2 linked regions of the Xenopus tropicalis genome follow. The protein of the gene in region 2 interacts with the protein of the main gene of each other region in a pairwise test. Links are inferred from orthologs where the notes say so. Each region holds a gene or a part of one and is shown on either strand. Other genes may lie near its edges. The genes, in order: nbr1 and syt4.

What was found.
Region 1: the proteins of syt4 (region 2) and nbr1 interact in binary tests that used the Homo sapiens proteins (3 or more experiments, as listed by UniProt). The two-hybrid records come from large-scale screens. The link is inferred for Xenopus tropicalis from reciprocal best matches to the Homo sapiens genes SYT4 and NBR1.

Annotation. Positions count from the first base shown.
Region 1 is NC_030686.2:19,645,724-19,649,009, reverse strand, and holds the end of nbr1 (next to BRCA1 gene 1 protein), read right to left. Parts: intron 2,832-3,286; coding exon 2,753-2,831; intron 2,424-2,752; coding exon 2,318-2,423; intron 1,530-2,317; coding exon 1,356-1,529; 3' UTR 740-1,355; downstream 1-739. UniProt on the Homo sapiens protein: Ubiquitin-binding autophagy adapter that participates in different processes including host defense or intracellular homeostasis.
Region 2 is NC_030677.2:207,891,485-207,895,320, forward strand, and holds part of syt4 (synaptotagmin-4), read left to right. Parts: coding exon 1-265; intron 266-1,426; coding exon 1,427-1,547; intron 1,548-3,836. UniProt on the Homo sapiens protein: Synaptotagmin family member which does not bind Ca(2+). Involved in neuronal dense core vesicles (DCVs) mobility through its interaction with KIF1A.

The sequences.
Region 1 (3,286 bases), on a different chromosome or scaffold from region 2:
TATTGTATCAGAATTGTAAAAATTCTCTAAAAATGTTAATAAAAAAGAACATAAACTTACTTATTATTATTGATTTTTTAGACCTATCATTTCCAGTTTTCTCTCTTGAGATATTTCTTCTTCTTTGTCCCATTTTCCTTTAAGAAATTTTAGCACTCCAATACATTACTTTTTCCATCAATAAATACATAAACCATAATATTATAAATTTTATTATAAGTGATACTAAGGACACAATATGTTGCACAAACTAGTCATACTTTATCTGAAAAAACTAGGGTATATATATATATATAATACGTGTATTGGATATATTCAAAATGCTTGTGACCTGAGGGTTTCCAGATAAGATATCTTTCTGTATATTAGATCACCATGACTTAGGTCTGTTAAAAATTATTTAAACATATAGGGGCAGAGCTCTAATCAAATGAACCCCAGTAGAATTAGTGAAGGGAGCCACAGATGCCTGTTGCTATTTTCACAATGGGGCACTGTAAATGAGCCCTATAATAGGCAGTTTAATTAGGAACAGGGCAACAGCCTTTGAAACCTTTGCATGCTGTTCCACTAAGGCTCCATATAAACGGACTGGCAGCAGCTGTTTGTGTGCACTGTTGCATGAAAGAGAAAGGAAGAAGATCATTTACCCAAAAATAGTCTTTAAATTGTTTAAGACCCATGATAGACATAGTCACACACACACACAGAACCCAGAAGAAACAAGTGAGGCAAAATCTTTAGAGTGAAAGATATTTTATTCATCTGCTGGTGAGTGCACCAAAAGTGGCCCCTGTTTACAGTATTCATCTAGTTATTTATCATTTTCCCCACATCTATTTACAGAAACATTCATTCACAAATAACATTGTTTTTTTCAAAAGCAGATTTTTCCGCTTCATGAAAATCTCTGTGATCTTGCCAGGATTTTCCCACTTACTGCCCTTAAATTAAATCTTTGCAGCTCTTAGTATACTGAGAAAATTCATATTCTGAGCCTTTAAATCAATGTTGCTTCAGGAAATAGAATTACTTCCTAATAAGTTCAGGACTTGATTTACATACTGTGTATTGATACTCCTTATTCCAGTATCAGCCATTCAGTCTGATAACACCAAGCCCGTGTCAGCCAACACCAAAGGGGCACTTCTTGCTCATTGCACATTTATCTATAGAGCTGGAAACTCTTTTTGATGCAAATATTGTTCTTCCAGAGAATCTTAACTAAAGTAATGGAAATATAATGGAAATTATAGGGCCAAATAAAAAGATGTGTCTTGCTAGCAACGCATTATACATCTGCTTTTTTTCTACTTCAAAATGTCTAAGGGCAGAACTAAGCTCTCTTCTCTAGTTCAGTAACGAGCAGAGTACCAATCGTTGTCGTTGATCTGGATCAGTTCGGTCACTACGTCCATGAGGTTGTAGCTGTGCTTGTGTAGCAGGCGTTGGTTGAGTTGGCGGTCACAGAATCCCATCTCGAGGAGGATAGCCATCATGGCTCTGTCTTGTTCTTCTGAATTTCTTGGCTGGAGATGGAGAAGCAAGCAGAGTTGTTGGCATTAAATAGAATATTTAACATAGTATAGGTAATAATAAAAGATTTTGGAAATGCCTCCACCAATTCAATATTTTTGGGAACCCTGACTAACTAGTTGAATCAGAGGAAGGTTAAAAACACCTTCTAAAGCTTCTCCAATTTGCCTCGGAAAGGGAAAAATTCCTTCCTGAATCCACAATGGCAACTGCACCACTCCCTGTATCAACTCTGTACTTGAAGTGCTAATTTCGTTAACTTTGTACTTTATAATTTTATAAAACGGCATCCAACCCTTTCTTAAAGCTATAGCAAAAAGAGAAAGTTGTGCTCACCACTACAATTTAAAACATTAGGCAATGAGGCTGTGACCGCACATACATACAAAATCAAATGTTCCTCTGCCCTCATGCAATACCTGTTTTGTTTAAAGGGGAAGGCATTTCCTTAGTAGCTCATTACACAAAATGTCTTAATGTCTTATATATATTGATAATGGGCAGGTACAGAGCACCACTAGCTTTTCTGAAAGCTATCTAATGTATCTGACTTCAGGAGATCATTTGTTAACTTTTGGCATCTTAAGGCGGGACCTACTTTCTTCAAATACATGGAGCTCATATTCTCCATTCTGTTTTTTTTAACAACATTCACATAGAAAACAAAAGCTCTATGATACTTTGCCCATAACACTAACCATTTAGCCACTAACTAATGCATGCAAGCCTTTCTATGAACACTTGAATGAAGGGTTAAAGTTGACAGAGTTGCTGCACTCACCAGATTTATCTCTGGTTGTCCAGAGAATAAAGCCTTATAAGCAGAAGCAGCAACAGATAGGGCACCTTTCACAAGACCCCCGGCAATGCTGACACTGGTGAGTTGTCTGTTGGAAATCAAAAACATGCATTAAACATAACAGAACTATTTTGTTTCCTTTATTATCTCAAAAAACAGAAATGAGATTGCAAGGAAGCTGGCAAACCAAGAATACAAACTGGTACATGTTGGCATGACATTGGCTCAAGTAAAAAATTCAGTAATCAAAGTAGAAGGCCGATAGACCCACATAATTTTAGCAATGTGAAAGTTTATATACACAATGAATTTAATACAGTTACAAGACTGAAGTGCATCCATGGGAAATCACCAATATTATCTTGGATACATGATCTATGTAATCTTCCATATAACCATGATTAACTGTTGGGTTACCTTGCGTGATCAGTCTGTTGATTGTGTGCTGGGGCACAAGCTGTAGGCTCTAAGGCTGATGTGTTTTCATCTGAAGAATCTTTCAGAAAACCATCAAATAAGTGAAGAGTATTAAACAAGAGTATAAATCAGTGAGTAAACCTATATTAATTTTACATGGGATCAGTTGGAATGAGGCTAGGATTCTCACAAATGCCAGAGAGGCTGCTATAAGATGCAATAGACAGTCACTATTTAGACTGTCACTACTGATTGTTAAGATATATGTTGGACATAAGAACATAAAGAAGAATTCATTCATGATCTGTATTGAACTGCAACTCCTAAATGAGCATGCTCAGAATGATAACCTGGAAACACTAGTCACATTAATTAAGTACGATAATTAATGTAGAAAAAAAAAATCTCCATCAATTTTAACTCTATGGGGCTGATTTACTAACCCACGAATCCGACCCGAATTGGAAAAGTTCCGACTTGAAAACGAACATTTTGCGACTTTTTCGTATGTTTTGCGATTTTTTCGGATTCTGT
Region 2 (3,836 bases):
AATGACCATCCTTCCTGAGAAGAAGCACAAGGTTAAAACTAGAGTGCTCAGAAAGACTCTCGACCCAGCCTTTGATGAGACTTTCACATTCTATGGAATTCCTTACAGCCAGGTTCAAGACTTGGTCCTTCACTTCATCATCTTGAGCTTCGACAGATTCTCCAGGGATGATGTCATTGGTGAAGTCTCTTTTCCTCTCTCGGGAATTGAACTGTCTGATGGCAGAGTGCTAATGAACCGGGAAATCAATAAAAGAAATGTCCGGGTAACTTATTTCATATGTTTCTCTTTATTAGCACATTTATTGATTTTTGCATTAATCTTTAGAAATGAGAAAAAAAAAATTTGGGGGGGGGGGGGGGGGGGGCGGTCCACACGCTTTTTCTTTTGATTTTATCAAAAATTCAAAATTTTGAATTTAAATTCAAATTTTATCAAAATTTTACATTTATCATAAAAGCCTTCAAGTTCAGGTATGGGATCCTGTCTCCCATAGACACCATTTTAATCAAATAATTCAGAATTTTAAAATTGATTCCCTTTTCTCTGTAATAATAAAACAGTACCTGTACTTGATCCCAACTAAGATATAATTACCCCTTATTGGGGGAAGAACAATCCTATTGGGTTTATTTCATGGTTAAATGATTCCCTTTTCTCTGTAATAATAAAACAGTACCTGTACTTGATCCCAACTAAGATATAATTACCCCTTATTGGGGCAGAACAGCCCTATTGGGTTTATTTAATGGTTAAATGATTCCCTTTTCTCTGTAATAATAAAACAGTACCTGTACTTGATCCCAACTAAGATATAATTACCCCTTATTGGGGGCAGAACAGCCCTATTGGGTTTATTTAATGGTTAAATGATTCCCTTTTCTCTGTAATAATAAAACAGTACCTGTACTTGATCCCAACTAAGATATAATTACCCCTTATTGGGGGCAGAACAATCCTATTGGGTTTAATTAATGTTTTATTGATTTTTTAGTAGACTTAAGGTATGGAGATCCAAATTACGGCAAGACCCCTTATCCTGAATACCCTTGGTCCTGAGCATTCTGGGTAATGGGTCCTCTACCTGTACTTTTGCTTTCATGAAAAATAATGTTCAAATCTAGACCACTGTTCACAAAGAAAAACTCAAGTTTTAAATTGTAAAGAGTAAAGTAAATATTTATATAATTACACTATCTTCATATTTTATTGAAGCTAATTGGTAATTTTACAATTTTAACTGTAAAAAAAGTAGGAATTATTAGGAAGTTATTTTTGCATCAATGTCATCTACATTGTTAATATAAATAGTTTTATGCAACTGTATTTATTGTATGCATTTATTTATATCCAAGTCCCTACCATTTACATTAATATAAATATCAAACCCGATTCCTTTTAAATATTATTTTTTGTTTGCCTTTAGAAATCAGCCGGACGTGGAGAGCTGCTAATCTCTCTTTGCTACCAGTCGACAACAAATACTTTAACTGTTGTTGTGCTTAAGGCTCGGCATTTACCAAAAGCTGAAGTGTCAGGATTATCAGGTACTGTTTTGTTCATCTAAAGGGTCTGGAATATAATATATGCTTGGAATATGGATTTGGGGATTCTGTTCTAGTTCTATGATCTTATTGTTGTTGGTACTTATAGCTATAGACATCTAAATAATAGCTCCATGTTGGATAATAGCTCCATGTTGGATAATGGCTCCATGTTGGATAAAAGCTCCATGTTGGATAATGGCTCCATGTTGGATAATGGCTCCATGTTGGATAATAGCTCCATGTTGGATAATGGCTCCATGTTGGATAATGGCTCCATGTTGGATAATGGCTCCATGTTGGATAATAGCTCCATGATAAAGCTTATCCATTAAGTCAGGGATCCCCAACCTTTCTTACTTGTGACCCACGGTCAAATGTAAAAAGACTTGGAGAGCAACACAAGCACCATAAAAGTTCATGGAGGAGCCAAATAAGGGCTGTGATTAGCTATTAGGGAGCCTCTATGCACACTATCAGCTTACAGGGGCTTTATTTGGTAGGAAATCTTGTTTTTATTCAACCTAAACTTGCCCCCAAGTCAGGAATTCAAAAATAACTCCCTGGTTTGGGAGCACTGAGAGCAACATCCAAGGGGTTGGGGAGCAACATGTTGCCCCTGAGCCACTGGTTGGGGATCACTGCTGTAGGCAAATCAAAGAAGAAACACCATACAAAGGGTTTTTATTCATCCAGGTCACGGTATATCTAGTAGAAGTTGATTTAGAGCCAGTCCAGTTGCTCTAGGCTCACTTCTACTAGCTATAAAGCAGATGGTTACTTAGTCAAGCTGTCTTTCCCTAATGATCCCAGTGTCACCTTCAGCATCAGTTCTTGGCACAACACCACTCACTGACTTGCAGCCTCTCTGGTTATTATACTAATAACTTCTAGTATCTGGATTCATTGGTTTCCTTCTTTCATTTTCTGGTTCCCAGACGTAAGGACCATGATTTTATTCTTCCTACTTTGGGAAATTTATTAGGATAAATTAATATCATAATAACAGTAGTATACTCCCCTGTAGGGGCATATAAATTAGGGATACTTGGTAATTGTATCCCTTGGTGCTTGGAACTCGAAATTCCTCAAGTTCTTGAGAAATGCATGAATTTTTTACTTTTTAAAATACAGGTATGGGATCCCTTATCCGGAAACCCATTATCCAGAAAGTTCAGAATTACAGAAAGCCCATCTCCCATAGACTCCATTTTAATCAAATAATTCACATTTCTCTATAATAGTAAAACAGTAGCTTTGACTTGATACCAACTAAGAACAGCCCTATTGGGTTTATTTCATGGTTAAATGATTCCCTTTTCTCTGTAATAATAAAACAGTACCTGTACTTGATCCCAACTAAGATATAATTACCCCTTATTGGGGCAGAACAGCCCTATTGGGTTTATTTAATGGTTAAATGATTCCCTTTTCTCTGTAATAATAAAACAGTACCTGTACTTGATCCCAACTAAGATATAATTACCCCTTATTGGGGGCAGAACAGCCCTATTGGGTTTATTTCATAGTTAAATGATTCCCTTTTCTCTGTAATAATAAAACAGTACCTGTACTTGATCCCAACTAAGATATAATTACCCCTTATTGGGGGCAGAACAGCCCTATTGGGTTTATTTAATGGTTAAATGATTCCCTTTTCTCTGTAATAATAAAACAGTACCTGTACTTGATCCCAACTAAGATATAATTACCCCTTATTGGGGCAGAACAGCCCTATTGGGTTTATTTCATGGTTAAATGATTCCCTTTTCTCTGTAATAATAAAACAGTACCTGTACTTGATCCCAACTAAGATATAATTACCCCTTATTGGGGCAGAACAATCCTATTGGGGTTAACTACTGTTTAAATATTTTTTTTAGTAGACTTAAGGTAGGAGATCTGAATTAAGGAAAGACCTCTTATCCGGAAAACCCCAGGTCCCAAGCATTCTGGATAATGGGTCCCATACCTGTACAAATGTAATAGAAACTCTTGAAACTTGATGGATTTTTTGTGTATTGAACATAATAATCTGGTGCAATCACTGTGCAACAATAAACCAGACGCTGATGGGTTTTTCAAGCAGATATGATATATCTGATGTGTCCCCCATGCTTGTTATTCTGTGTGTGTATGGGGGAGGAGGGCGGAAGTCTAAACCAAATGATTAATGGTTCAACTAATGTGCTTCGTGCTGTCCTTTACATGCTATTATCTGAATCAATGGCTTCTCTGATGTATTGCTGATCTCCAAGAAGGTTTTTAGACTTTCAAGGAATTTCCAATATG